Elephas maximus indicus: one gene and its partner. The protein of the gene in region 2 interacts with the protein of the main gene of each other region in a pairwise test. Links are inferred from orthologs where the notes say so. Each region holds a gene or a part of one and is shown on either strand. Other genes may lie near its edges.

Region 1 (15,439 bases), on a different chromosome or scaffold from region 2:
CCCCGGGTGATTCTGAAAACCATTGAAGTTTGAGAACCACTGGTGTGGGGTCAAGAAACAAACAAATGCAGTGAGGGAGATGTCAATATCCCAGGCTTGAAGCAAACATGAAACTGACCCCCTACTCTGTGCCAGGCATGGTTCTGCACACTTGGCATGCAGGGAGGTTGAGGGAAAGAGCCTTCTGTCTTCAATAATGATAAAAAAAAAAATAATAAAGCTAACATTTATTGAGCGCTTACTGTTAGGCCAGGCACAGTTTCAGCCCTTTATGTACTATGAACTCTACAAGGGTTTCATAAAACTCTTAAGTGGTCAGTGTGATTGTCATAGGAGGAAACTGAAACACAAGGAAGTAAGTAAGTGTTCTACTTTGGGTCAAAGGCCCTGGGGCAAAAGTGGGGGTTGGGGATTGGGTGGGAGGTTGATGCGAGAGATATGGAAAGATGGGGGGCATGGAGCTATGGAAAGAGGCATAGAATTGAAGGAAGCCTGACTGGACCTAGTGCAAAAATTAAAAAAAAAAAAAAATTATGTGAGGTTAAAAAACCAGTTGTGTGGAGTTGATTCCAATTCATGGCGACTCCATGACTCCATGTTTGTCAGTGTAGAACTGTGCTCCATAGAGTTTTCAATGGCTGGTTTTTCAGAAGTAGATAGCCAGGCCTTTGTTGTGAGGCACCTCTGGGTGGGCTCGAACCTCCAACCTTTACGTTAGCAGCTGAGTGTGTTAACAGTTTCCACTACCCAGGGATTCCAGGTCAGATTTGTTAGCTAATATTTGGTAAAGAAAGCAATTTATAAATGTCCCTGTAGGTCACTTTTCTCCAAAAGCAATCATTATTTTTTCCTTCTAGAACAGGGAATGTACTGCTTTATCACTACCTGGTGGTGGCTTCTGGAATACTACCTGGAAAAAAAAAAAAAAAAAACATTGCCTTCGAGTCTATTCAGACTCATAGTGACCCTATAGGACAGAGTAGAACTGCCCCATAGAGTTTCCAAGGAGCGCCTGGTGGATTTGAACTGCTGACCTTTTGGTTAGTAGCCACAGCTCTTAACCACTACACCACCAAGGTTTCCACTACCTGGAAAGAAGAGCTTATTTCTGGCTCTCACGCTGTCCTTGCACGATGAGGTGAAAGCAGACGGCGCTCTGGCCTGGGTCCATCCACAGCTCTGAACCTGACCTCCATGACCCTGCCTTCACCTTGTCTGCCTCCTCAAAGTCCCGGTACCCTAGACTCTGAAATAAAACATTCACTGGATGGAGTCAAGGGCAGAAATATATTGTATGTGATAATAAATGTGATTTTCTTCCAGATGAGAGCGAATTGACCAACATCCTTGTTTAAAGAAAGCATCCTTCCCTTATTAATTTGGAATACCCCTTTTTTCATTATTTGAGACAGGTATTTGCTGACAACCTTAGCGTCTCAACAGCCTTGCAAGTTAGGTGTTTCTAGCCTGATCTTGCAGTTGGCAAAAGTGAGTAAATAGTAGGCCAGGATAAGAACACAGCACTGCCTCCTCCCAAATGGACGCACTTGGCTCTGCACCAGGCTTCTTTTTTGTGAACGTGAGTCATCAGGGGGTTGGGTGTGGTTGTCTCCACTTTATCAGTTGATCATTGGATTAATTGTTCTTCAAGATTTTGTGTAACCTGGAAACACCATGAAATTATGGAGGATGGAAGGCACCCTGGCTTGGAGCATAGAAAGCCTGGGCTTTTATCCTAGTTCTGTCGGTAACCAGCTGTGTGGCCTGGCACTTTTCTTTCCTTTGGTTTCACCATTTGTCTAATGAGGGACTGGATCCCAGCTCTGGCATTCTTTAAGTCTGTGATTATATGTGTACCTGTGATTGAGACTAAGCTATAACTATACTGAATCTTATCCATCTATCCCTCCAATCAATCATCTGTCTAGCCACCTAAACACCCATCCAAATATCCATCCATCCATCCCTCCATCCAATCATCTATTCACTCATCCATCCATTCATCCATTCACTATTATTCAGCATGAACATTGTACCACAGACAGGAAAATAACAAGACCATCATGGTACCTGTTCTTTCAGAGCTTATAGTCTAGCAGAGGGGAAAACTAAACAAATCATTTCAATATTGGTGATAAATTCCATGATAGAGAAAGCATAAGTTGCTTTGGAGCACATAGAAGGTGGATCTAACCCAGACTTGGGGATCCAGGGAAGTTAAATTTGGAGCGATCAGAAAATAAAGGGCCAGGGGAAAAATGTTCTTGGCAAAGAACAGCATGGACCAAATCTCAAGTTGAGTGAGCATGGGGGCTTGAGGAACTTAATGAAGTTCAGAGTGGCTGGGGCAGAGAGTGAGCTGGTGGTAGTTAGTAGGGCTGAAGAGGTAAGTAAGCGGGACCACTAGATCATTAAAGTTTTGTCAGTCCTGCTGAGGAGCTTGGCCCTGATCCTAAGTGCAAAGAAAAGCCAGAAGAGGGTTTAATGTAGAAAGGGTGACACCTGGCTGCTGTAGGGAGTGAGACAGAAGGCAGGGAAGTGATTAGGAGGCCATTGCCATATCCAGGCTAGCCCAGATGGTGGCCTCGACTAGGGAAGTAGCAGTGGATATAGGGACTAGTTAGGCAGAACTGGCAAGGCTTAGTGGTGGGCTGTGGGTGAGGAGTGAGGGAGTCAGAGATGTAAACTGGGCTTGGGCAACAGGCAGAACTGTGGGGACATTTGCTGACATGGGACACAGGAAGTAGACAAGTCTTGGGGAGATATGGCTTATGTTTGAGGTGCCCCTCAAGCCCTGGTAGACAATTGTCCATGGAAGGTCGTTGCCTTGATGTTGACCTTGTAGGAAGGCAGATTCCAAATGCCTATCCCAGCTGGACTTTTCCAGGTGCTTGCCCCATCCTCCTCCTCTAATTAACACTGACTGTAGTCTAAAAAAAAAAAAAAAAAAAAATTTTTTTTTTTGTAGTCTAAACCCTCAAAGTGTGGTCTGCAGACCAGTAGCCTCAGCATCATCCCAGTTGTTGTTGTTAGGTGCTGTCAAGTTGGCTCTGACTCATAGCGATTCTGTGTACAACAGAATGAAACACTGCCCAGTCCTGCACCATCCTCACAACCGTTGCTGTATTTGAGCCCATTGTTACAGCCACTGTGTCAATCCATCTCTTTGAGGGTCTTCAGCTCTTTTGTTGGCCCTTTACTTTACCAAGCATGATGTCCTTCTCTAGGGACTGGCCCCTCCTGATAACACATCCGAAGCATATGAGACAAAGCCTAGCCCTCCCTGATTCCAGGAAGCATTCTGGCTGTACCGCTACCAAGACAGGTTTGTTTGCTCCTCTGGCAGTCCATGGTATATTCAATATTCTTTGCCAAAACCATAATTCATCCCAGATATGATTAGAAATACAGAATCCTGGGGCCTCGCCTCAAATCTCCTGAATCAGAATCTGCATTTCAGCAAGGTTCACAGGTGATTTATGCACACGTTACAGTTTGAGAACCCCTGCTCTAGACAATAAAGTCTAGAACATTTGCTCCAAAATCAACTAGGAGATGGGGGAAGAAGTTCCAGAGAAGAGAGGAGGCCCAGAGTATAGCCTGCCATTTTGGAAAGCATTAGTGATGCTAGCTGGCCTAGACATCCCATCCTTAGCCTAGAGGACCCACGTTGCTGTCTGACACCCCATTTTTTGGCTTTGATCCTCCAACATGCCCCCGCAGACCCGCCCTGCACACTGACCCAGGAATACTCACCCAGGGCGTTGAAGGCAGGCAGTACCTCAAAGATGATGCTTTGCCCCTTTGTGGACAGCCAGAGTATGAGCTGGCCTTGGGACTGCTGGACCTCCAACTTGGCTGCCATTTCCTTTAAGTGCTGTGAGGCTTCTAGGCGCTTCCAGATTTCTTTGAGGATTATTTCACGTTCGCTTGTCTTCTGATCCAAAAATTGTTTGAATTCACTGAGGTAGATGACGAGAGTACCATCGGATGTGCCTCTGAGGACAGTTTCCCGGCCATAGGAGCCACCCTGCCGGCGACAGGGAAGCGGATGTGAAGTTCTAGACCCACTGGGCATCCAGCAGACAGTGGTATTTCTCAACAGCGAGCAAAAGCCAAAAAAGTCACCATGGTCTTAAAGCTGTGAAGCAGACATTTGTTTGTTCACCATGAGGCCTGAGTCAGGCTGTTCACAGCAGCATTTTTCATACTGGCCAAAAACTGGGGTCAACTCAAATTCCATTAACAATAGAATGGTCAGATGTGGTAGATTCACAAAGCAGAATACTATACAACAATGACAGTGATAAACAACAACTGCACACAGCAACATGAACCTCAGAACCCCTGTGGGTCAAGGAAACCACATACCAAGTGCACAAAGTGCCCGATGCCATTTACGTAGGGTGGCCAGTCAGTCCTGGTTTGCCAGAAACATTCCCAGTTTGTCTTAGTTATCTAGTGCTGCTATAACAGAAATACCAAAAGGGGAGGGAGGGGCTTAGCCCTCTCTCACAGTCTAGGAGGCTAGAAGTCTGAATTCAGGGAACCAGATCTAGGGGAAGGATTTTTCTGTCAGCTCTGGGGGAAAGTCTTTGTCATCAATCTTCCCCTGAGTCTAGGAGCTTCTCAGCACAGGAGCCCAGGGTGCAAAGGACACGCTCCACTCCCGGCTCTCTTTTCTTGGTGGTAGGAAGTTCCTATCTCTCTCCTTGCTTCTCTTTCCTTTTATCTCTTGTAAGGTAAAAGGTGATGCAGGCCACAACCCAGGGTAACTCCCCTTACACAGGAGCAGGGCTGTGAATTCCACCCTAAGCCTCTTTAACATAACCCAATCTTGCCTCATTAACCACAGGCAGGGATTAAGATTTACAACATGTAGGAAAATCACATCAGATCACAGAATGGCGGACAACCACATAATACTGGGAATCATGGCCTAGCCAAGTTGACACATTTTGGGGGTAAACTATTCAATCCATGACACAGTTTTAGCAATGGGCAAACCACCCTACATTTACACCAAGTTCAAAAAACAGGCAAACCCGGCTGTTCTGTTAGAAGTCCTAGGAGTAGGTTGCCCTGGAGTAGAGGTAGAGACTGGCTAGAGGGTGTCCGAAGATCCTGGGGGGCTGGGTGTTTTGTTTCTCAATCTGGATGTGGGTTACACAGGTATGCTGTTTGTGAAAGCCTGTTAAGCTATGCACTTAGATCTCTGCCCTTTTCTTTTTGCATATTTTACTTTTTTTTAAATGTTAATTTTGAGAGGCAGGATAGCAGAGTGGCTCAGCATGGAGGCTCTCAGCAGATTGCCTGGATTTAAACCCCAGCTCTGACCCCAGCTGTTACGTAACTGCACTCACTTAACTTCTCTGTGTCTCTGTTTCCTCACCTGGGCTAGGTAGCACCAGGTGACACCAGGTGTCCAGGTTTCTTTTCTGTTGAGCTTAGTGGGTGTGTAAAGGTGGATCAACAATCAACATCCATGGAAGCACCAATCAAAAAAATCAAACAACGTATTGCATTGGGCAAATCTGCTGCAAAAGAACTCTTTAAAATTTTTAAAAGTGAAGATGTCACTTTGATGACTACGATGCACGTGACCCAAGCCGTGGTCTCTTCAATTGTCTCATATGTGTGTGAATGTTGGATAGTGAAAAAGAAAGACTGGACAAGAATTGATGCGTTTGAACTGTGGTGTTGGTGAAGAATATCGACTATATTGTGGACTGCCAGAAGAATGAGCAGATCAGCCTTAGACAAAATACAATCAGAACGTTCCCTAGAGGATGGCGAGACTTTGGTTTGCTTACTTTGGGCATGTCGTCAGGAAAGACCAATTGCTGGAAAAGGGCATCGTGTTTGGTAAAGTAGAGGGCCAATGGAAATGAAGGAAATGCTCAATGAGATGGATGGACACAAGGGCTGAAACAATGAACTGAAACATAGCAATGATTATGAAGATGGCGCAGGACCAGGCAATGTTTTGTTCTATTATACATAAGGCTGTCGTGAGTTGCCAACTCGACAGCAACCATCACCAACAACAACAGAGGGAGGAGCCGAGAAGCGCATAACAGCAGAGAAGTGGCAGGCCAGGGCTAAAGAGAATGGTGATGGAGGGGACCCTCAGAGCCCTCCTCCTGCCCTAGTGACCTGGCACCTTCCCATCGCCCCTGCCTCCCACAACATCGAACATTTCCAGCTGAAGGGAGCCTCCCTCTACCCACTCCCCCACTGTTGTGAAACCACAGAGCAACCTCGTGTGATTTTACCGAGGTCCTCGAGCCTCAGTCTATCCCTCTATAATAAGGGTAAAAATAATAATAGAAAATAGAAATAATAATAGCGAGTAATCCCAGCTTATTTGTTGAGTGCTAATTTTTTTTAACTATGTGCTACGCTACCACGTGGGTTTTTTTGGTAACTATGTGCTGGGCTCTGTGCCAAGAACTTTATATTCCTAAGCCTCACAACACTCTGAGGTGGGTATTATTCCTCTCCCCGTTTTATAGATTTGAAAACTGAGGCACAGAGAGGTGAAGGTGAACCCTATAAGAGATACCTGCCCAGGGTCACACACCTGGTAAGGGGCAGAGCTGGCTCCTAACCACTACAGCATACTCCTCCGTCTCACCCCGGTGTGGGGAAGACAAAACGACGTCTAGCCCAGAACCTGGGGCAGAGTAGGTACTTAGCATGTGACCCTGGGACCGTGGACTCTCCTGGCTCCCCGAAACCCTGACCCTAGCCCTGGACTCACTTTGGCCACATCCTTTACCAGGGGGAAGTCTTTGGCATCCTGCAAGACTGCGCAGATGGTGTTCACGGCATGGTCGATCAGCTTCTGACAGTCTCCCTGGGGCTGTAGAAAGAGCTGGATATACATTTCCAGGTTCTCAGCAGGAATGGAGTTCTGTTGTGACCACCAGCTTCCCATAGCTCCCTGCCGGCTGCTGGGGCTCCCTGCTGGCTGCTGGGGCTCCCTGCTGGCTGCTGGGGCTCCCTGCTGGCTACTACTGGTGCCGGTGCGGTGCCGGAGTGAAGAGCAGTGCAGGAGGCAGAGAAGGAGTAAGCTCCCGAGCCCTGGAGCCAGGAAACTGAAACTCAGAGAGCTTTTCCGGTGGTGGCGGTGGGGCTGCCCCTGCCCAGAGGCTCTGCTCCGCCCCCCTGCCCCCTGGCTGTTCAGCACATAGTCTCCAGAGCCCAATTGTGAGTGCCTGCTACTTGCTAGACTTGTGCCCTTAAACAAATCACCTGCCGTCTTTGTGCCTCGATTGCAGTTGAATAGGGATGACAGTGGTACCTCTTGTAGGGTTAATATGAGGATTAAATAATACCTAGAGAGTGTTTAGCAGGAGCTGGCACATGATAAATGCCATACAAGTGTTTGTAAGTAAATAAAATTTTACATACTGCCACAGCCTCCACCAGACTGAGCCCAGCACAACTAGATGGTGCTTGGCTACTGCCACCAACTGCCCTGACAGAGGTGTTTCTTTGAAGCTCTTTCTCTTCCTCCCTGATTCCAGTGGCCTGGGAACTCAGACTCAGTGAGAGCAGAGAGGAGAAAGAGATCCAGAGTGGCGCCTGAATTGCCCAGGGACACACAGTAAGTAGGCACCAGGCCAGACTCAGGGCTCAGGCCGGCCACTTGGCAAACACAGGTCCTAGAGTGGGTCAGGGGGCTGGAGCACCTGTGTGCCCAGTCCTTCTTGCACGCATGTGTGTATATGTACATAATGTATACACATGTATACACATGCACACACAGACAGAGCCTCACCTGTACTTGCCCCACCCAGCAATAGGGGAAAACAGAAGTTTCCAAGGGAAACAGAAACCAATTTGGCCGCCAGAAACGAAACTCACAGAGGGCTCCTAGGGGCTGCCTCTGTCCAGCATAAAAAGTTAACACCAAACCAAACCAAACCCACCGCCATTCAGTGGATTTCAGCTCATAGCGACGCTACAGGACAGGGTAGACCTGCCCCATAGGGTTTCCTGGTCTGTAAATCTTTTTTTTTTTTTACTTAGAAATTACAATTTTTATTGCTTTCCCATCATTTTTTCTTTCTTTCTTGTTATTGTATTGTAGATGAAAGTTCACAAACTAGCTTCTCATTAAACAATTAGTACACATATTACTTTGTAACACTGGTTACCAACCCCACGACATGTCCTTCCTTGAACTTGGGTTCCCTATTACCTGTTTTCCTGTCCCCTGCTGCCTTCTACTCCTTGCTCCTGGGCTGGTGTGCTCCTTTTGTCCCGTTTTATGGGCCTGTCTAATCTTTGAATGAAGGGTGATCCTCAGGAGTGACTTCATTACTGAGCTAAAAGGGTGTCTGGGGGCCATACTCTTGGGGTTTCTCCAGTCTCTGTCAGGCCAGTTAAGTCTGGTCTTTTTTTTTTTATGAGTTAGAGTTTTATTCTACATTTTTCTCCAGCTCTATCTGGGACCCTCTATTGTGATCCCTGTCAGAGCAGTCACTGGTGGTAGTCAGGCCCCATCTAGTCATGCTGGACTCAGTCTGGTGGAGGCTATGATTTATAAAAAAAAGATTTACAGCCCAGGAAACCCTATGGGGCAGGTCTACCCTGTCCTGTAGCATCGCTATGAGCTGAAATCCACTGAATGGCCGTGGGTTTGGTTTGGTTTGGTGTTAACTTTTTATGCTGGACAGAGGCAGCCCCTAGGGGCCCTCTGTGAGTTTCGTTTCTGGCGGCCAAAGTGGTTTCTGTTTCCCTTGGAAACTTCTGTTTTTCCCTATTGCTGGGTGGGGCAAGTACAGATGAGGCTCTGTCTGTGTGTGCATGTATATACATGTGTATACATTATGTACATATACACACACGCGTGCAAGAAGGACTGGGCACACAGGTGCTCCGGCCCCCTTCTTCATTTTCCCTTGCTCCAGACGAGCTGGGACCAGTGGAGTATCTTAGATGGCTGCTCACAAGCTTTTAAGACCCCAGATCTTGTGGATCTTTCCAACACTACTCATAGCAGAATGGTTTAAAGAGTTTGGCCCTCAACAGTTTAAAAGGGTGAGATATACCATGGTTCATGGTTCAGCCGGGTTCATCAGGTATAACATGAGGCAGCAATAGGAATCATTATGATGGTTTTGTGTCTTGCTTCTTTCACATACTGTTATGCTTGAGAGATTCATATACATTTTTGCATGAGGCTGTAGTTCATTGCTTTTCACTGCAGTATAGTATTCCACCTTATGAATTTGCCAGAATGGATTTACCTGTTCCACTATAGATGGATACTTAAAAAAAAACAAAAAAACCCAAGCCTGTTACTGTTGATTCCAACTCATAGAGGCCCTATAGGATAGAGTAGAACTGCCACATAGGGTTTCCAAGCCCATTACTGTTGAGTCGGTTCCAACTCACAGAGGCCCCATAGGCTAGAGTAGAACTGCCACATAGGGTTTCCAAGCTGTAATCGTTATGAAAGCAGACTGCCACATCTTTCTTCTGTGGTAGCAGCTGGTGGATTCGAACTGCTGACCTTTCGGTTAGCAGCCAGGCACTTTAGCCACTGCCACCAGAGCTTCTTGATGGGTATTTTGATTACTTCAATTTTTGGTTTATTAGTAGCAGTGTTGCCATGTACAATCTTATACATATCCTGGTGAATACGAGCACCACTGGCCCTTGAAAAGGGATAACCTCTTAACCTAGGAGTTCAAAACCCATTTGGGATCATAAGAATGGTTGCACAATTTGAAGAATGTCATCAATGTCACTGAATTGTACATGCAGGAATTGTTCAAAAAATAAAACCTTTCTGGAGTCATGGATGTCTTGGGTAATCTGATGAACGTTGGGTCCAATCCTTGAAACGTACACACACACACACACACACACACACACACACACACACACAGAAAGGAGGCAAACAGCATTGAGACGGAGACAGAGTTGTGGTCCATTAGTCCTTCAGACTAATCTTTCTCTTGTGCCTTTGGTTTTCTTCATTCTCCCTTGCTCGACAGGGTGAGATTAGTGGAGTATCTTAGATGGCCACTCACAAGCTTTTAAGGCCCCAGACACTACTCACCGAAGTAGAATGTAGAACATTTTCTTTATAAATTGTATTATGCCAACTGAGCTAGATGTTCCCTGAGACCATGGTCCCCACATAGGCTGTAAATCTTTGTAGAAGCAGACTGCCACATCTTTCTCCTGCAGAATGGCTGGTGGGTTCGAACTGCTGACCTTTTGGTTAACTGCAGAGTGCTTAACCACTATGCCACCAGGGCTCCTCTATAGTATGTAATTAGTATGTAATATAAAAAAAACCTTTGCCATTAATTCTGATTCATAGCAACCCTATAGGACAGAGTAGAACTGCCCCATAGAGTTTCCGAGGAGCACTGGTGGATTCTAACTGCCGACCTTTTGGTTAGCAGCTGCAGCTCTTAAACACTACACCACCAGGGTTCCCAGTGGCAGGTAAAAATCCCTGAGTGTGGTAGGCAAAGGGCCCTGCCCTGCTCATTAGCTTACCTTTTACTGCAATATTGACAGGTAGACTGGGCTGGGGGCAGAAGGCCACTTTCCGGAGGAAAATATGGAGGCTCTGGGACATTGAGAGATTTGCCTGTCACACAGGTAGCAAGCTGCTAACAAGCTAGGTTCTCCCTTCATGATGCCTGATTCCAAAACCCATCCTTCATTATTATTTTTTAAACATTTTATTTTGAAAGAACTTGAAATGTTGAGAAAAAGTGCAAATAAACTCCCTAATATCCTTCACCCGGAACACTTGACCACATTGGCCATATCTTTCTCTCCATAGATTGTATGGGTGTTATTATTGAACCTTGTGAATATACTAAAAACCACTGGATTATGCCCTTGGAAATGGTGAATTTTATGGTATGTGAATTATATCTCAAGAAAAAAGTCGTATCAGTAAAAAAAAATTTTTTTTAATTAAAAGTTTTCTTTAAAATCCTAGACTTGGTCTTCACTTTTGTCTCCTGGCTGCAGATGAGGGCTTCTTCATATGTTACCAAGGAGGCCTGCTGGTTTTGAGACAAGTATGGAGTCCTGAGGTAAAATTAACCCTCTTGTCAACCAAAATCCACTGCCGTCGAGTTGGTTCTGACTCATAGTGACCCTATAGGACAGAGAAGGACTGCCCGATAGAGTTTCCAAGGAGCGTCTGGCGGATTCGAACTGCCGACCTCTTGGTTAGCAGCCACAGCACTTAACCACTATGCCACCAGGGTTTCCGCTGCTCTTGTCAACAGAGGCTGTAAAAAAATATTCCAAAGCAAACAAGATACGGCTAGGCCTGACTCGAGGAAACCAGTATCTCAACCTGAGGCTAAATTCTAAATGATAAGTAACCAGATTTCCCCTAACACTTCCTTTTAGGATTACTTTTCAGGCAAACCAACTAAAACCAGAATCCTGAGCAGGCAAAGAAATGATTCGGTTGATGGCTGGATGTCCCCGTTCCATAGTGAGTCCTGCCTAGGAACCAAAAGACTCACGCCAAGGAACTAAAATCACCAGATTTCCATCATCTGTAGTATTCAGACCCATTTCAGAAGCGAGAGGTCCATCAGCCACTTCTTGCCAAAAGACTGTCCCAACCCCTTTTTTGAAAATGCGTTATTTCCTAGAAATCCAATGAATATGTATAACTTCCCTTTTACTGTGTTTGGTAACAGTTATCACACTTAGCTTTCAATTGCTGATTGATTACACTTTTTGTTACTTTCTTCCAGAGTGTTAGTAATAGTTGTCCAATTCCACTGGCCTGTTTATGTTCCGGTACCATGCTGTTTAAATCATAGAGGCTTTATAGTATGTTTTAATATCTGGTAGAGCTAGTCTCCCCTGAGAGCTCTTCTTTTTTCATTTTCTTAGGTATTCTTGCATGTGTATTCTTCTATAAGAATGTTAGTACTGCCTTGTCTGGCTCCAGAGAAATACTCATGTGTGTATTGTCTTAGTTATCTAGTGCTGCTGTAACAGAAATACCACAAGGGGATCGCTTTAACAAACAGAAGTTTATTATCTCACAATTTAGGAGGCTAGAAGTCCAGATTCAGGGCACCAGCTCTAGGGGAAGGCTTTCTCTGTTGGTTCCGGCAGAAGGTTCTTGTCATCAATCTTTCCTTGGTCTAAGAGCTTCTCAGCTCAGGACCCTAGGTCAGTGTTCCTGGCTCTTCTTGCTTGGTAGTAATGAGGTCCCCTGTCTCTCTGCTTGCTTCTCTCTTTCATATCTCAAAGAGATTGACTCAAAATACAACCTCATCTTGTAGACTGAGTCCTGTCTCATTAACATCATAGAGGTAGAATTTACAACACATAGGAAAATCACGTCAGATGACAAAATGGCAGACAATCACACAATACTGGGAATCATGGCCTAGTCAAGTTGACACACATTTTCTGGAGACACAATTCAATCCATAACAGAGTCCACGTAATGGAGTTGGAAGGCAGAGAGCTGGAACCAGACACCTTGTCCACCCAGGAGGAGAACCAAGGCTCATGATGCACAAGCCAGGCCCCTCTCTGCTGGGTGACTTGGCAGGTCAGGTCTCTGCTGTCCCAAGTTCTTGGAAACGTGTGTGTCAACAGCCAGCACCAACCTTAGAGGTGTAATTTGGGTGTCCTGAGAGCTTCTGGCCAAACAGTTAGCAAAATGAGTTTAAGAAGACTTCATCACACCCACAGTGCCCTCAGCATTGGTTCAGCACCAAGAGCAGAGGGCACAGGCATGGGAGCTGTAAACACAGCCCTGGTTCTAAGAGGGTCCTGCATGCCGACCCCTCAGCCCAGTCTCATAGGCTAGAGCCAAAGAGGGGTGAGAACAGGCTCCAGGTGTAGGCAGAAGAACGGCTCTTTGTTGCTCTTCTCCCTCCAAGAGTGCTGGTTGTGAGGGGAAGGCTCTTCCCACCCTCCTGCATCCCTAGCGGGCGTGGAGGTTGGCCTGAGGATACATGGTGTTGGGTCATGGGGGCAGTGGAGAAGCTGAAAACTCAGGCTGGTACTCAACCATGTAGTCTGGACTCCAGTGTTCAGGCCGTGGGAGGCAAGGGTGTGTGTAAGCTGGGGACTGCCCACTGGCTACTTGGTGGTATTTAATGAAGGTCAATCCAGCTACATGAAAGGGGAGAGCTGGAAGGCAGGGAGGTCAGCTGGAGGGCTGGACTGGGGAGGAGAGAGGATTTGCTGAAACACACACCCACCCACACATGCACAACCCCACTTATGCACACGCATGTGCCCACACACACACCCACATGCACACCCGTGCCTACACCCACCCATGCACACTTATGCATGCACACGCATACACATATGCACATATACCTCCACACGCATGCACGCGTATGCGCGCGCACACACACACACACACAGAGGCTCATCTGGCAGGCAATCCTCAGTCTCCCCACATGGAGGGCTGGTGTCCATCCGTCCATCCAGTACGACCACTGGTTTCCTGGGCTTCACACAGCAGCCTGGTGGGGGGAGTACAGATGTCGGTTACCCCTAACCTTCCTGGAGAAGCTGGGACCACATGGATAGACAGGAAGTGGAGGCACAGGGCACAGTGGAGCCATGATTGGCCCCGTCCCTTTGTGTGGAGCCAGACTCTCCCCTGCCCACACTGCCCCCTCCCTCCCACAAAAGGTATGTTCTTCCTTTTTGCAGGCGGCTCACCTCCACTGGCCAGGGCTGGACGGGGGTGCCGTCCTTGCCCATGCAGCACAGGGCAGACACACAAGTTGCAGCTTCCTTGGCCAACAGGTCCCAGCGGGCATTGTGGCCCAGGTTGCCCGTTGGGTCAGCTGGATCCAGGATGATGGGCCTGTAATTTCCATCCAAGGTCAGTCTTATTCCCTGCAACATCTGGTATCCACCTGTGGGATTGGTTGGACCATGCTCCTCCCTCACCTAACACTCTGCAGGGGCCAGGGGCAGGGCTCAGAGCCTCCTCCACGCTCCAGGCACACACCTGAGGGCAAGTATACAAAAGAAACTACACACGGGTCACTTCTTTCTGTATCCAGGGCAGACATCACTAATCAATCACAGGGCTCATGCCGCCACTTACTGCATGTAAAGCAGGCATTATTAATCAATCAGAGCACTGTCTCCACCACTTTCCCTTCCTGCATCTATGGCAAATGTCACTACCTGACTAGGTTACTCTTCCCAGCTGAGCCAAATCACAATCTCAGAGTCCTTCTCACCACATTAGTTACTACTACCCCCCAACTAGAGAGGCACTGTGAGCTTGCGAAGGCCTCTGTGCTGGGTCTGTACCCATTTGAGAGGTAGGCGAAATCCCAAAGAGTAAGACATGCTTATGTTACCTGTTAGGTTCACAGGTAGGGTTTGCAGATTTAACAACTACAAATACAGGATGCCCAGTTGAATTTTAGTTTCGAATAGACAATGAATAAATTTTTTTTAGCATAAGTATATCCCAGGTATTGCATGGGCCATACTTATACTAAAAATGATTCATTGCTTATCTGAAATTCAAATTTCACTTGGCGTCTTGTATTTTATCTGGCAGTCCTATTCACAGGTTTTTTCTTTAGGTAGCTGGCCACCTGTCCTCAGGTGCTAAGGATATCATGTCTAGAAAGGAACTGAATTCTAGACACAAGACGCTCCTGCCTGTGCTGGGAAGACAGGGAGTGACCCCGGGCCTGGGACTCTGGGACACTGGGGTGAGTCTGAACCTGGGCTTCTGCAGCTGCCGTTTCAGGAAGTCTCCAATGGTCTTGTCCTCAGCATCGTAGTTGACAGTCCAGTAGATGCAGAGCTGGCGGTACTGGCTGACCAGCTCCAGGACGGTGCGGAAGCCCTCAGCCATGTTGAACTGAGGCTCCTGACTGCCCTGCTCCCAGGCGTACACTGTCAGGAGTTCCAGCCCGTGCTGGGGGGGCAGGGAGCCTCTGCCCTTAGGCATCTTGTTACACTTGGGGAAGAGGAGAAAGAAGAGGTGTCAGTCCATCTTGGCAAAGATGAGATGCAGGACAGACCCTTCTGGAGCTGGAAAACCCATCCTCAAATGTGCCAGATGGCTTGCCACGCATTATCCCATCAAATCCTGGCACATAGTTACATCACCCCGACTGCCCTGAGAAAACCAAGGTCCCATAGCTAGGAAATGGATAACCCTCCTATTGTTCCACCAACCCAGGGCCCTGGCCACCAAAGGTAGTGACGAACCTGCCGGTACCAGTGCTTCACCAGTCGGATTAGACTCTTCAGCTTGGTGGGGCGGGAGATGATGAAGTCCCGCTGCAGCTCCGTGAAGCAGGTGGAGTACTCGCCTGCATTGTTGTAGCTGTGGATGAGGTCCACGTAGACTTGAGGGCTGGGCCGGCCGCCAGAGCCCAGCTGGCCTGGAGATGGAAAGAAAGTTGCCATTATTTCA
Region 2 (15,439 bases):
ATGGCCCTGCCCTGAGAACCACCACCACAGCCCTGGGAAGGGGAAATCAGGGCAGAACTAGTCACTGCCCAGCAATTCTTGGGCATGCCTGCAGACCCCCAAGAATTTCTCAGGGGGTCCGCAGAACACCAACATGTACAGGTCAGACCCTGCTTTGGTGCTACCCTTCAGAAAGAAAAAGGCTCAGATAACCACAACCCACAAGCCTCCCAAACAGGCTCTTCCCAGGCAGTCACCTCCAGAGCTGGTTGGGGCTGCCCCGGTGCCCTCACCTGGCATGGTCCAAGCACTCCACCACCTTGCCAAAGGTACCTTCGCCCAGGTTCCCCACGATCTCATCTAGGAGAAAGAAGAAACAGGGCGTGAGGGTCTGCAAGGCAAAGGGCCGGCAGCTCCTGTAAGTTCACAGCATTCAAATTCTCAAAAACAAAAAAGGCTTCTCTCACTGCCACACTCTTAAAAACAGAAGTTGCTAGTGTCTGTGTCATTCAGGCAATTACTGGTGGCCCCGCTAAGGCGCCACGCGCACTAGAGGCCCCTCCAGGCAGGAGAGGTCTCGTCTAACAAGGGGGGTAGAAAGTAGAGAGGTAAAGTTTTACGAAAGGTGGCTGTACATCGCTCTTGGAGCCAATCGCCGATCCGGCACACCAGGTGGCCCTCCTTGTCATCTTCCACACTCCGGCTGCTGCGCTTACTGCTCTGTTGGCTTCTCTGCATGCACCGCCCCCCGAAACGCCATCCGACCAATCGCATGGTAGGCGGTTCCGATTGACAGATTGAGGTGTCAGTCAAAGGCAGAGGTGGAGACGGTGAGGAGCCGGTGGGTTGGTTGGTTGGATTTTCCAGATGCCAGCATTTCATAAGGCACACAGCATATATAACGATAGGGATATTGCAAGGGACACGTCAAGACACAAACTGACTTCAAAAACAGAAAAGTAAAAACAGCTACAGGTATGTAAAGAAAACTCGGACATTATCTACAAGGAGGGGCGCCGCAAACGCTCGGAAAGACGACCAGCCTCTGCGGCTGAGGGGCCAGGCCATGAAGAGAGCCACATCCCTGACGCCCTCCTCCAGCGAGTCTCCCCCTCCCAGGCCCTCCCGTGGGGGCTTCGTGGTGGCTTCGGCCAGAGCTGAAGACGCAGAGAGAACGGCGCAAGAAGGCAGCCAGCCCTGCCTGGGTCTGACCGTCGGACTGGTGAGAGGGCCATCTCGGTTTTCCTGCGAAATGCCCAGCCTGTCCTTGCCTGCTTACTGTCCACACGGCCTTGCACATGCCCGATAGCTGCCATTCAGAGCCAAACTGCTACCTGTCCCCAGACGGCATCCTTGGCCAGACTTGAGCACCACTACCAGAAACGGCCTGCCAGCAGCCCTCCTGCCACCAGCCTCGAGCAGGGAAGGGGCCGGTCCTCTGGGCCAGTCGGCCTGCAGGCCTCCTTCCACCACGGCCACACAGGCCCCAAGCCAGCTCCTGCCCTGGCCTTGGCACCGTGCCGCCCACAGGCCAGGCCCATCCCAAGCCTCACAACGACAGAGGGCACCAAAAAGAGAAGCAGTGGAGCCACTGACCTGCACTGCCATCCTGTGACAGTGTGCCAAGAGGCCACCAGGCCGTGCTGGGCTCACCCAGTCTCCCCTCAACTTGCCATGGCCGCTCAGAGAAGTCACAGGGAGAACTGGGCAGAGAAGAAGCTGGACCCCTCCACTGACCCTGCCCCTACCCCTCAGGGGCCTCATGGCCGGCAGGAGGGTGGGGAGGGGGGCGGGAGGAGAAGAGAAGGCAGCACATAGCCTCAGAGATACACAACTGGCTTTTCTTTCCTGGGGGCCTGGGTGCAGTGTAGGGTCTACACGATCCTCCACACCAGGAACACCGGCCAGGCTCTGCCTTTGGGGCTGCCTGGGGCTGAAGGCTTTCTGCCATTCTTCACATACCCCAGCACACAGACAGCTCCCACCCCTCGCCTGGACTGCCCCTCACATGAAGAGGCGAGACTGCAGAAGGCCTGGCTGGAAGTCAGCAGGAAAGCTCCCAATCTGCACCGGGCTGACGGGCAAATCCTCTCCAGCCTCGGGGGAGGGTGTGTGGAGATGGGACTGGAAGGTGGGTGCCGGCCACACCAGTCAAAGCTCTCAGCTACTGGGGCAACCTCTGGGAGGGAAGGACCAGACCATATAGACCACATAGCGGCAACCCTACTGGATCCCCAAGAAGGCTCCCCAAGAAGGCTCCCTGGCCACCGGTGCCATGCGGTTGGTGTCTGGAGCAGCCTGGAGACACAGAAAAGCTGGGAGCCAGCCAGCGCCGGAATCAGGGCCCCTATAGTTGCCGTTGCCAAGGGGGCAAGAAGGCAGAGGGGCCGGGCCACCCAGCTCAGCTCTGTACCTGGACCAGACAACACATACACACACACATGCACGCACACCAGTGTGTGTGCCCAGCTGGCAGTACTCACCACGACCAACCAGCCTGAGAGAAGGCTAGAAAGAGATGAGGCCTGGAAGGCCCAGCCAGCACACTCTGGCCACCACTCACCGAGGAGGCGCTGCTACAAGACCTGGTGCGGCGTTTGTGGCAGTGGTGGGCGTGCTTGCGGGTTCGATATGGCTCCCTCTCCCGTGACCGCCGACGATGGTGTGAACGTGATGATCCGTAGCAGTCCTCGCCAAAGGATGGGCTCCGCTCTTCACAACGGTACGTGTCGCTGTCTCGGCGCTCCCGGTATCTCCTCTGGTAGGGCAGGCGGTCATGGCTGCCAAGAAGGGTGGGGGAGACTGGTCAGCAGGGTCCTTCCTCCCACCAGCCAGGTCCCTGCTACCAGGCAAGAAGCCTGTGTAGACCCTCAAAGAGCTCACAGACACCCAGACTGGCGGGAAGAGAGCAAGGGAGGGAAGGTGTGAAGGTGCTGAGCCCACCTGTCCTCCAGAACCTTGGCTAAAGATAGGCACCCCTCCAGTGCCCCAGGAGGCAGAGCAGTGGGGAAGGGGAGCAGGTGGAGGGCCTCTGAGGGCTCAGACACTCAGGCTCCCTGTGGCCTTCTGGAGACTTTAACCTTGGCCTGAGGCTAAGATACGACCAGGGACCAACCGCTAGAAAGGGCTGGGGTCCCCCCAATCCCCACCGAGGAAGGCTCAGGAGGTTAGTAGAGGAGGAGCCACAGACCTGCACTGCCATCCTGGAAAAATGGGGAATGTTCTGGGAGAAGGAAGAAGAGGAAGGGGCACTCAGGGACAGAGGATGAAGGGGAGGCAAGGCTTGCAGCTAACGCAAAGGCCAGGGAATGCAGGTGAGATTTGGGGAGGTCCCCCAAGAGGACAGGGTGGGTCCTAGGAGCAGCAGGCAGAGATGGCAGCCATTTCGAGGAGATGTGAGACTGCCCCAAGCCCCAAAACCATCTCACTAGCCCAGCCAAGGGCAGGAGTCCTTCCTGCCTACCCAGTTCCCTCTCACCTTCTGGACCGAGACCTGCGAGGCGGAGGCTCCCTTCGGGACAGGTAGCGCAGTCTCCCTTCGTGCTCCCGACTGTAAGACCTCCTCCTCTTCCATCGGTAGCTCAGGTACGGGTCTGGCTCAGGGGAGCGGTATCGCTTACAGTGATGCATCTAGGCCACGAGAGAAAGTGCCCTACTCAACATGCAGCCAGCCACCTCCAGCCACAGGGCTGCCGGGGCAGCCCAGACGTGCCTAAAGAGGAGGCCCATTATTCTGTTTGGGGGCAGCCCCTCCCAGGGTTTTATGAAGTGAAGAAGAACTCTGAGGTCATACTGGCCGAACAACAGACAATGGGTAACACCCTCTCTGCCAGCGAACTAATAGCTGCCTCCCCAGCAGAGCATCACTGGCCTAGTGGCCTGAGCACTTGGGGAAATGGGTGAGCTGGGACCAGGTGCTGAGGCAGGAAGGCAGGAGGGAATGGTGAGTATGGTCACCAAGGCCAGGGAGAAAGAGGAGCCTACTGGGCTTAGTCCCCTACTTACTGGGTGGTCCTATGAAGTGACCATGCTGTAAAGCCAGAGGCCAGAGTCAAAGGGCTGTTGGCATGAAGCCAACAACATGGGCGCAAGCGGGGAAACACCTTCAGCCTAAAGTCTCCTGGCTGAGGCCCTGAAGTGGACCCTACTCAAGGGAGTAAGGATCGCAAGTCAATGTGAGGAGCCACAGATGAGAGGACAAGCCCTCGGAAAAAGAGGCATACAGGGTCTCACAAATATTCCCCAGCTTACCCCAGAGTCTGACCAGCCCTTACTGGTCATCACTTGGTCTCAGTATCCCTTGGGATGCCAGGGTCCTCCGAGCACCCAAGTTTCTTGCCAGAGGCCCACTTAGCACCCTTCAGACCACCTGCAGTGCCATGCTGGGCAGTGCCTCACCTCTCTCCAACATCACCTTTGCTGTCCCCTTTTCTCTTTCCCCTGCTCCAGTACTGGCTCCTGTTCCCATCTCAGGAAGAGCAGAGGGGTTGGCTGCCTGCACAGGCAGGCAGGCCAAAGGGCCCCACCCCACTCTCCCTGTTAAGCAAAGACTTATATCCGCCACGGGAAATCGCCAGGCTGGACCAGTACCAGCTGAGAAAAGTGGCTATGTGAGGCCAGCCCCCATTTCCACCTACATCCAAAACCCTGATGCTGCCTCCATGGGAAGGCTAGGCCAATCCTTCACTTGGCCACAGCCAGCCTCTGGTCATGGTCAGTCCTGGGCTCACCTGACCAGCACATTTCGGACAAACCCACTGAGGCTGCACCATCAAGGCAGAAAGGTCTGTCAAGAGGAGAGCAGCATGGAATGGCTCCCCCTGGGGTAAGCAGGGCAAAGAGGCCAATCTGACCAAACTCCTGGGAGCTCCTCGGTGATCCTGACAAAGTCACTGCCCTCCATTTCCCCAGTAGCTGATGTCCCCTCTCTATCTGGGAAGTCCAGGAAGTGGTACTGGCCCAGCCCTCAGCAATCCTTGGAGATAAACATACAGAAAATCACTGACAGATCCCTAAGACCTGGATTGCTGTTCTGTTTTGTTGATTAGGTGACTAATGTTTCACTGTTTTCCTGCCATTACCCTGGGGCAGGTGCCCAAGCTGTGGAATGAAAGCTCCAGTGGCCTGGCATGGGCCCTCCTTGCTTAGGAGACAAAGCATCAGGAGGACTTGGTCTAGTCCACACCAGGCCAAAGCCTCCCTCCCAGGACCTGGAAGATACACATGTCCACACACTTCATGTTAGTGGAAAGAGCCCAGGCTTCAGAGGCAGACAGATGTCAGTCTGAAGCCTGGCACTGCCACTTCTAGCTGTGTGCCTTTGGGCGAGTTACTCAACTGCTCTATCCTTCAGCTTCCTCTTGCAATAACAGGATAACAATCTCTTACAAGTGTTTGTGAGGATTTAATGTGTCTCCTCTAAACCAACTGCCTAGCATAGGCCTGGGCCCACAAGTGGTACTACAGGCAACTTTTCATTAACAAAATGAAAAACATTCCGGGTAACAACTTGGACCTCTGTTAAATGCCTTAAGAGCACTAAGAACACTTTATAAGTCCCTTCCTGGGAACCTGGGGGAAGACAGTTCTGGGCAGAAAACCCTGACCTAATTCTCAGTGCTGTCACTTACTGTCCTCGTGAATTTATACAAGTCACTCTAGGCCTCGGCTACCATACCTGGAAAGTAGAGATAACACTACCTCCCAGCCAACTTGGCAAAGGAGATGACAAGCATGAGAGCTATAAAGTACTACACGCAAGGCAAGACTAATAGGAGAAATCATCTCTCCTTTACCGCATTTTAGGCAGGTGAGCTACTGGACCTACCAGACCCCCTCCTCAGCCTCCCACCAACAGCACAAGAGCCCATTTCTCATCCATTGCCTCAGATCCACTGAGACCCCAGCAAACAGGTTATTTTAGGAAGCTAAGGTCACGATCATGCTTTAGGAGGCTCTGCTCTACACAATGGGAAAAAAAAAAAGGTAATGTGAAGGAAACCAGGCCGAGGATGCCAGCTCTTCTCCTCGGAGCACAGGCCTAGTCGGCTTCTCATTTGCTGTTCCTGGCCAGAGAACTGGGCTGACAAGAAGTGCAGCCAGCCGGGTCAGCGACTGCCCTCCCGGAGCCCTGCCACCCCAGCGCCCCACGGTTATTTTTGGCTGGCACTGCCCCGCCACTGCAACCTCAAGCTTGCCACCTCGCAAGCCGCCACAACGGGGTGAAACGCTCCTCCTTTTCAAGGGCACGGAGGAGGGAAGCTGGAAGCCCGCCAACTCCGCCTCGACCGGGGCCTGGCTCGGGCAATTCCCACACCGGCTCCACACCAGGGCACTCGCACCCGGAACTAAAAGCACAGAGGCTACCGGGCTGAGGAGCAGCCGGGCATTTGGGCTGTCAGCTTGGCCGGGCCCCTCCCCCGGGGCTGGAGCGGCTCCATCATCACAACAAAACACACACAGGCGCCTGCGGCCTTCGCTCGGGTCCCTTCGGGCGCCCCAGGTCTTGGGTATCTAGGAGCCCCGTGCCCCCCGAACCACCGTCAATGGCGGAGGAGGGACCCAGGTGGTGGGGGCAGGTCGGTGTGAGCCAGAATCCAACTCCAGGCCACGCGGGGAGGAGGGACCTACGGACCAAGGCTCGAGCCAAGGAGTCTGAAGGAGTCTCCAGGCTATCCCAGGTCGGACCCCGACCCCATTCCTCGGGCAGGCGCAGTGCCGAAACTGGGTCCCTGCAGGGGCTGACAGAGGGGGCCTCAGAGGCTGCTCTGGCTCCCACTCCGACACCACGGGATCGAGAGCTCGAGGTCCGCCGTGCTCGCCCTCGGGGCGACAAGCAGCGGGTCAGGGGTGAGGGGTCGGGGCTGCGGCCTGAGGTTGGTAAAGGAAGAGAAAGGGCGCGGACCGAGCCCAAACCGGGACACCCGAAACCCGCACCCGGCGAGGCCGCCCCGCCCGACTCACCTCCCGCAGCCGTCGTCGCGGGCCGAGGCCCACACTCACCGTCTCCCAGGCTCCGGCTGCGGCTAGGCCCCACTCCCCGCTCCGAGCACCTCTTCCGCTTCCGGCTCCGGCCTCCGCCCGTGGCGTCCCCGCCCCCCGGGTGACGCAGGCGTCGCCAGCCCCGGGTCGGCTCGGCTCGGTGGCCGGGACGCTCTAGCCCCTGACTCGAAGGCTCTGGGGGACTGGCCTTCCACGCTCCGGTCGGTGCCGCAGAGTAGTCGAGACTAGCTCCGGGAGGGCCGAGGGGTGGCTCCGGCGGCGGCGGCGGCTCGCCCCGCCCCCTGTCGTGTCTCGACGCACGTAAACCCTCCAGACCTGACAGGTGCCTGGTCCCCGAGCCTCTCCATGCCCGGCGGGGGTGCTCGGAGCCGAAAGGCGGAGCTTCGCCCGTGTCCGCCAACCCCTTTTCTGTGCGCGGAGGGGACGGTCGTTGTTTCCCTGTTACGACAGTGAAAACGGGGGTTACTGCGGTCCACCTGGCCACGGGGCCCAAGAGGGAACTAAAGACGGCGGAGACCTGGGCCCAGAGGCTCACGAAGGCGGTGGTGACAACGGTTGTGTGAAAAAAGCAAATGAAATGTGTGTTTGTGTGTTTATCCAAAACAGTTTTTGGGAATATACCCGAGAGCCACAATGGTGGGGCATCTTGGAGGGGTCGGGGTCAGGTGGCAGGGGGTCTTCTTCCCCCTTGAGTACCTTTAGAGCGTCTTAGTGCGGCCAGCATTGTTTCTCAGTAAGCCCCAGCCAAACAAAAGCCTCGCGCCATGCAGGGCCCCCGAGCATGGCATCACCATAACGCCTCCCTCCTATCTGTCTAGAGCGGGATTACGAAGCCTCATTTCCCAAATGAGGAAACTGAGGTCCGGGGCCCTTTGGGAGACCTCACATTTTGTGGCGCGCACGCCCCGCCCGATCCGGGAGTGGCGTCCCCGCCCCCGGGCTCTCCCGGGCGTCGCGCAGCTAAACGAGCGGGAGCGGCCCCTAATTGCCCCCAAGCCAAGCGAGCGCTGGAAACCCGCAGCCTCTCCCGGCCGGAGTGAGCGGGGCTGGGCATCTCCCCAGGCACCGCCCCCTCCCCTGGACAGCCAGCTCTTGCCATCCACCAATGGGCGGCCTGGGTTTCTCCAACACCTCACGGGGCAGGGCGGAGGCGGGCCGCCCGCCTGCCTCTCTTCCCCGGCCCCGCCCAGTTCCCGCCCCCTCCCCAATGAGAACTGGCCACGCCCCTGACTTGGGGGCGCGGTCTCCAAGCCCCGGCTGCCTGGTCAGAGGCGACCATTCCCCCTATAGTACTTCGCTTCTGGCGCCCCCTTAAACTGGAGTCTTACGACGTGGCTTGAGGGATGCTTACATCCCCCAAATCTCGGTTTCCTCCACCACTCCCACCCAAAATAAACACAGAAGCTACCTAAAACTTGGGTGCTTGCTACGCTAATGCCCCCTCAAGACCATGCCCGAGTCCTCCTGCCAATCAAATGCTGCCCCCAATATAGAAATTCTAGAGCCACTTCAAGTGTGCAGTGGGTGACCCAGAACCTGGCTATTGCCGCCCTCAGATCTCGCCCCCTCAGGATCTTGCCTCAGGGGCCAGGGGGTTAAAAAATGGCAGGCACCTGAGGTGCCACAACCCCTACCCACCCCTATGCCCGGGCTCCAAATGCTTCAATGCTTCGTTGGTCTAGGCCGTGGACACACCAACCAGGTTTCTTCCTAGGGGTTTCATCCACTCATACGAGGTGGGAGGGCTCTGGTGGCTCCTCCTCCCACCACCTAGTGTTGCCCGCGGTTTCCATGGCTCCTTGGAGCCAGGATTGTGGCGGGCAGCTGAGAGGCGCCAAGGCCCTCAGAGAGGCTCCTGTCCCCAGCTCTGCTCTGGGCACCAGGCTCTGAGGAGGTAAGTTAGGCCCATCTTCCCCCAAGCCCTCTACCCCCAGGAAACCAGGAGTCCCTACCTCCCAGTGAGGAAGCAGCTCTCTCTTTTTCTGAAGAGAAATAGGAGCCATCTCCCAGCTCCTTAACTCTCCAAAATCTGGAGTCAGGCAGCCATTGGGCTTGAGATTCTACCAGTAAGTCTTCTTTCTTTTGTCTCTTTCTTCCTAAAAGAACTCACACCTGAGCAGAATGTGAAACAGGGTATCAAATAACCTACCAACCAACCCACTGCAACTGAGCGGATTCCGATTCACAGCCACCCCACAGGGCTTCCGAGGCTGTAAATCTCTAAGGAAGCAGACTGCCACAACTTTCTCCCGTGGAGCTGCTGGTGGTTTCTAACCACTGATCTTTCGGTTAGCAGTCCATCATTTTAACCACTGTGCCACCAGGGCACCAAATAGGCACTTGGAAAAAGATCTACCCTGATGTGATGTATGTGGAACTGCCCTTGCACCACTCTCATACTCCCGTGCTGCCTGGCAATAAGTCCCTGGTAACCCCTGGCCCGGGAGCTCAGGGGGTGGACCAACTCCAGAGGTTTGCTCCACAGCCCTGCCCTGAAGACCCAAGCTCTTTTCCCAGTCGCCCGCCCCTGCCCGCACCAGGTCCTTTCTGTTGAGGTCCAAAGCATGACTCAAGAGCACCGAGGTCTTGCCTCCGCCCTGTGCCCGGCTCCTAGCCACTTGGCCCCACAGTTCCTCTTTAGGGCCAGCCTTGCCCCTCTTGGTTTTTCACTTGGCCACCCTCAACGCAGACTCAGCTTACTGCCCCTCCAGGCCCCAGCTGTTCTGATCCCCCTCTTGTCCTGCTGCTCATGCTCTCTCCTCTGTCTGCCACATCCATTTTTCTCTTCTCTAGGGGTAGTTAATTCACCTTCAAGCCTCAGCCCCAGGGTTACCTCCCCTGGAAAACCTTCCTGGGAGCCCCTAGGAGAGTCAGGTTCCCATTTCCTGGGCTGCAGGGACCTGGGCCTGGAGGGAGGGGAGAGTAGTCAAGGTGTCTAGAGGCGAGAGGGCCTGGTGGATGGCAGTGCCATCCTGAGGTGGGAGCAGGTCTGGGTATATGAGGAATGGGCACATCAGGGCGAGGGGAGGGGAGGTTCAGCCTAGTTCTTCTTTCTCCTCAGGTGGAGACAGCCTTCCAGGACTGGGCCACACACCCTCCATGCCATCACGGAGCCTGGGCCTGGGTACCTGGCGCTCAGGCTTGGGAGGAAGGAGACAGTGGTAGGACTCTGAGGCCCTGGAGGTAAGAAGAGTGGGGATAGGAGGAGTGTGAGGGGATAATACCCACCGAGTAGTCCTTGTCTGCCTCATGAGTTACCACAAGCTGGTGGGGAATGGGTGTCAGGGCCCCTGTGTTACAGCTGCAGTTATGGAAACTGAAGAGGTATCAGAGCAAGGAGTTTGGGGGCTTCTGACCCCCACATCACAGCTAAACTATGTTGTTGTTGTCGTTAGGTGCCATTGAGTTGACTTCTACTCATAGCTACCCCACGTGACAGAGTAGAACTGCCCCGTTGGGTTTTCTAGGCTGCGATGGCAGTGGGTGGGTAATCTTTTTTTTTAATTTTATTGTATTTTAGGTGAAAGTTTACAGTGCAAGTTAGCTTTTCACTCAAAAATTTATACACAAACCGTTTTGTGATATTGGTCGCAACCCCTGCAATGTGTCAGCACTGTCCCCCTTTCCCTTTCCACCCAGGGTTCTCCATGTCCATTCCTCCAGTTTTCCTGTCCCTTCCTGCCTTCTTGTCTTTGCATTTGAGTAGGTGTTGCCCATTTGGTCTTGAATACTTGATTGAACTAAAACAGCACGTTCCTCTCCTGTGTTATTATTTGTTTTAAAGGCCTGTCTAATCGTTGCCTGAAAGGTGGACTTCACGAGTGGCTTCAATTCTGAGTTACCAGGGTATCCGGAGGGCATAGTGTCAGGGGCTCCTCCAGTCTCTGTCAGACTCATAAGCCTGGTCTTTTTCTGTGAATTTGAATTTTGTTCTACTTTTTTTTCTCCTGCTCTGTCCGCGACCCTCTATTGTGATCTCTGTCAGAGCAATCATAGGCTGGAATCTTTACGGGAGCAGATCGCCAGGTCTTTCTCCTGCAGAGCTGCTGGGTGGGTTCAAACCCCATACCTTTTTCTTAGCAGCCAAGCACTTAACCGTTGTGCCACCAGGGCTCCTTTAGCTAAATTGTGCTGGCCCTGAAATGTTCCCCTGGCCCCTACTGTTTCCTAACCACTGCCCACCAGACTCACACACCTGGAAGGGGAGCGCTGCAGGGCAGCAGGGTGGGTGAGTGTGCGCTCTAGTGCCTGACAGCGCTGGGTGGGAATCCCCATTCTGCAGGGACTCCCTGCAGCAGGGGCGGATTAACCAGCAAGCAAGGTAGGCACGGGCTTAATTGTGTTTACTTATCATCTGTAGTGCACAGTTTCATATGGGTCTCAGAACATCTTTAACACGGTAAGGAACAGGTGAAATTGTGCTCTACAGATGAGTAAGCAAGAAGAAGTAATCCTGTGCCTACCTTGCTTACTGGGCCGTTCTTCCCTGCCCTGCAGTGACCAGGGGCAACTGAATGCCCCCTCTGAGCTTCAGCGGCACAGCCCCCAGCCGGGTACCCGTGAGTGTGAAATGAGGTGGTGTTTATTCAGTAGGTGGCCTGGCTGGCGGTCAGCACCCACAGCACACGGGAACTGTTAGAACTGAGAACTGTTTAGTGGTGCCGAGGCTGGGGTTTATCTGAAACTGGAATAACCAGAGAGAACCCTGGGCCAAGGGGGTGGGGCTGAGTGCATGCTCACCCCAGGGACTCAGTTTCTGCATCTGAGGAGGGGGCTCAAAGGTGGGTGTTCTAGGAGGAAGGGACTGCTCCAGCTTTAGACTCCAGTCTGTTCTGTACTCAGGGCCCACTGAGGCAGAGCCCATGGATCTCATGTCTGGCCCCACATGCTGTCCCCGGCACTCCTGTAACCTCTGGCCACTGGACCAAGACTGCCCACGGAGCCCCACCGAGGGGTGCAGGTGAGCCTGGGGATGGCAGGCACGGCAGCCCTCTGGTACCCTGCTGGCAGTCTGACTCCTCTCTCCCTGGCAGGTGCCCAGACAGAGCCCCTGAGAGGGACCAGTGGCAGTCAGAGAAGGACCTGCGGGTGTGGCTTGCGGAGAGCAGGTGGCAGCGGGCAGGGCTGGCCGGCCGTCTGCGGGCAGCGCTGGAGGCCCTGTCAGAGCAGGCCCGGGTGCTGCAGAGGCGGGAATGCCAGCTGGACCGAGGCCGGGCCCTGTGTGAGCTGCTGACTCTGAAGCAGAAGGTGAGGCTCCCAGCCTCTTCCTCCCACCTTCCTTGTTGTCCGAGGCCCCAGGGAGGCCCCTTGGGCTAGCCAGGTCCTCTTACCAGCCTGAAAGCTCCAGAACGCTCAGGGCTGGTGTTCACCAGTGCCGCGTTCTCAGGAAGGTCTGTCAGGGTCTGGAGCATCCAGAGGAGAGAGAGGGAAGTAGAGGTGCCAACGGGGTTGCTGTGTTGAACAGTGTTGTATCCGTGCCTGGCGCCGCTGCCTGGAGACGGGCAGCGCTTTCCTGTGAGGGGTATGCAGGGCAGGGCCGGGAATGCTGCTAGAGGCAAAGGGAGGGCTTGTGGCCCATGGAGGGAGAGTAGGGAGGGTCTGGTTTTAGCTCGGTGGACAGAACAGCATCCTTAGAAGTCCAGCCTCCCCTGGTGGAAAAGGTGATCCCCAGAAGGAGAGAGAGCTCTGCAAGCTGAGGCTTCTTGGGGAGGCTACCAGCATCCCTGCCCCATGTGGAGGTAAGGACTGGACTGCCCCCTGACGGCCTAGAAGCCCAAGCTTTTAATGACTCAGATGTCTTAGCCCACAGTCGACCCTCGTGGAACCACTGCTCCTTACCAGGCCTGGGGTGACCCTCAGGACCCAGTTGACTGTCTTCTCATGCCTCTCTAGCATTACATGACAGTGTCCCTGGTCCTTCTGCAGGCCTAAGCTCTGAAGCTATCAGCAGGTGGGGTCAAGAGGTGATGCATCTCAGGCCCAGATGAAGGCAGAGGGCTGCACATCTGGAAGCTATAGTGATAACAGCTGGGTAGCTCTCCGAGCCATGGAGTGCAGGTCTCCCCTGGGCTGTCAGCTGGACCCCTGACTGGGCTTATCTCAGCTGGTGGAGCAGGCAGAGGCTGTAGGTTCTGCCTGCTTTATCAGAGGCCGCAGACACTCCTTGCCTGGTGGGGTGGGGGGACTGGCCCAGCCCTCCCCAGGGGCTTGGTGCTGCCTGCAGCCCTCCCCCAGCAGGCAGAATGCTTCCTGGCCCGCCTAGAGCAGGAGAGACACCAGCTGCGAGGAACCCAGGGGCAGGAGGACTGGAGGAAGCCACACTTGGACATAGAAGACAAGTGAGGGGGTTGGGAGATGGGGGAGGCGCAGAGTGGTAGAGGATGGGCAGACAGCCCCCTCTGCCCCCAGGATCCTGCTACTGCAAATGGAAGTGGAAAAGGCCCAGCAGCGTTTGGACCAGATGAGCCAGCAGCCCCTTGGCCCAGAGCCCAGCCTGGAAGCTCCTGCGGTAGGGATGACACAGAGCCCCCCTCCAAGTGGGTGTGGGCAGGCCCTGAACATGGCCCTGCCACACCTTCCGCCCTGCCCTATGTATGCTTCATTCCCTGGTCTTCATTCTTGGAGCAGTAGCTGAGAGAGGGGGGTGGGTGGCATAGGGGGCTTCTGTGCAGCCCAGAGAGGGATCAAGTCCCACCCAATGTTTGGAAAGGCCCTGGGATCATCCAGCCCACCCCCCTCCTGTTACAGATGGGAAAACTGAGGCCAGAGGGTGGGGAAGAGCTTGCTCAGGGTCATAGCGCAAGTTGGAACCAGGCCCCAGGGGCTGCTGGCCCCTGCCACAACATGCCCCTTGAGGCACAAAGGGTCTGTCAAGAACACCCCAGAGTGGTCTGGAGGCTGGGAGGAGACCCCAGGATCCTGGACTGAGTTTGTCTGCAGGAGATGCTGGTGCCAGGCCAGCAGGCGCAGGAGCAGAGCGAGGCCAGGGCCCAGGCCCTTCAGGGCCTAGGTGGAGTCTCGATGGGGGCGGCCAAAGCCCCTGCGCAGCCCCAGGACATAACTCTCCTGCAGGAGTGGCTGGTGATGTTCACCCAGGTGGGTCAAGGCCATTGTCAAGGTTCAACCTGCAGAACGCCCCAAGTCCCAGCTGAGCCAGGCTGTTCCCACCTGTACCGGGGGCAGAGAAGCAGAGGAACCTGGGCCTTGCCCTTGGGAGATTCCAAGACAGGATGAGAGGCTGTAGGGAGACTTTGGAAAAGAGAATGACTGGGAGGACAGATCTGAGCAGGGTATCCACACAGCACAACTCCAGAGAGCACCCTTCACATTGCAGTCCACATAAATGGCACCCTCTGGTGGTGTGCAGCCAGGAACTGGTCCAGCCCTCAATCATTGGTCCAGAGTCAAAGCCTGGAGTTGAGAGAAGCCTCTGTTTTTTTTTTTTTTTTTTTTTCTGTGGGCTGGAGTGGTCAGAGGAGCCTTCTAGAGGGGTAGAGCCCCAGAGGATGAGAATGGAGGAGGGGATGGGATGGGTAAAGGCTTGGGCTTGAGCAGGTTCCCTCCAGGGGAGTCCCACAACCCTGGTAGAGGCTGAGCCACAACTCTGGGTGGGACTTGGGACCTTCCCAGGTGAACAAGAGACTCTCAGAAGAGCTGGGCCAGAGCCACCAGCAACTAGGGGCCTGCTTGGAGCAGCTGCAGCAGCTACAGGGAGAGCTGACAGTGTTGGAGGGCCGTGTGCAGGCCCTGGAGGCAGAGCGAGCCCGGCTGCTTGGGGAGAACTCAGTGCTGCTAGTAGCCCTGGGGTTGGCCCCAGGCCAGGAGGCCTGGTAGGTGGCTGCTCAGGGCCGTTCCTCAGAGCATCCAAGGAAGGCTGGGAGAGTGCCCTGTTCTCACACATGAGATGGCCCTGCCAGCAAGGGGCAAGCCTGGCTCTTTCACCCACTGGGTGAGGGGGAATGACCCAGATCCTAACTCCCATGGCTGAAGCCAGACTCCCTTCCCCAGGTGTCAGCCTTCCTGGTTGTCATATTTTGGCTCTTTTAGGGGGGTATATGGGAAATCTTTTAGCTTCAAGAAATCCTATCTCCCCTACACATGGCTGAGCCCTGCCTAGTAGGCCAGGAGAGGCTGGAGTAGGCAAGATGACCTCCCTTCTGGTCCCATGTCAGGATGCTTGGGAGTGGACATGCCCAGGACAGAGAGGCTCTGTGTGCAGGGAGCTGTGAAGGCCGTGTCTCTGCCTCACCCCCTTCCTGTCTATAAGAAGACGTAGCGAGGACATCTATGCAACTTGGAACAAAATCATTTGAAAAGGGTGGGTGGGGGCAATCTGGAGTCCGTGCTGTGTCTGACTGCCCCCATTTTTATCAGCACACCCCAGGTCCAGGAGGTACCAGTGCCCCTTGGGAAAGAGCTAGAGGAGAAGTCACACCCTAAGCTTCATGAGGCTGAGTAC

Evidence for each region.
Region 1: the proteins of CLK3 (region 2) and OAS2 interact in binary tests that used the Homo sapiens proteins (3 or more experiments, as listed by UniProt). The two-hybrid records come from large-scale screens. The link is inferred for Elephas maximus indicus from reciprocal best matches to the Homo sapiens genes CLK3 and OAS2.

Annotation. Positions count from the first base shown.
Region 1 is NC_064840.1:11,164,605-11,180,043, reverse strand, and holds the start of OAS2 (2'-5'-oligoadenylate synthase 2), read right to left. Parts: upstream 7,092-15,439; 5' UTR 6,941-7,091; coding exon 6,764-6,940; intron 4,031-6,763; coding exon 3,757-4,030; intron 1-3,756. Other genes in the region: OAS3 (2'-5'-oligoadenylate synthase 3), read right to left, coding at 13,494-13,505, 13,708-13,855, 14,739-14,977, 15,232-15,407.
Region 2 is NC_064831.1:64,682,250-64,697,688, reverse strand, and holds the start of CLK3 (dual specificity protein kinase CLK3), read right to left. Parts: upstream 7,070-15,439; 5' UTR 6,982-7,069; exon of another isoform or gene 6,943-6,981; intron 6,660-6,942; exon of another isoform or gene 6,580-6,659; intron 3,610-6,579; coding exon 3,458-3,609; intron 2,760-3,457; coding exon 2,543-2,759; intron 712-2,542; coding exon 615-711; intron 340-614; coding exon 273-339; intron 1-272. Other genes in the region: ciliary rootlet coiled-coil protein 2, read left to right, coding at 11,411-11,540, 11,824-11,941, 12,015-12,228, 13,216-13,319, 13,390-13,489, 13,921-14,076, 14,611-14,810, 15,355-15,439. UniProt on the Homo sapiens protein: Dual specificity kinase acting on both serine/threonine and tyrosine-containing substrates. Phosphorylates serine- and arginine-rich (SR) proteins of the spliceosomal complex.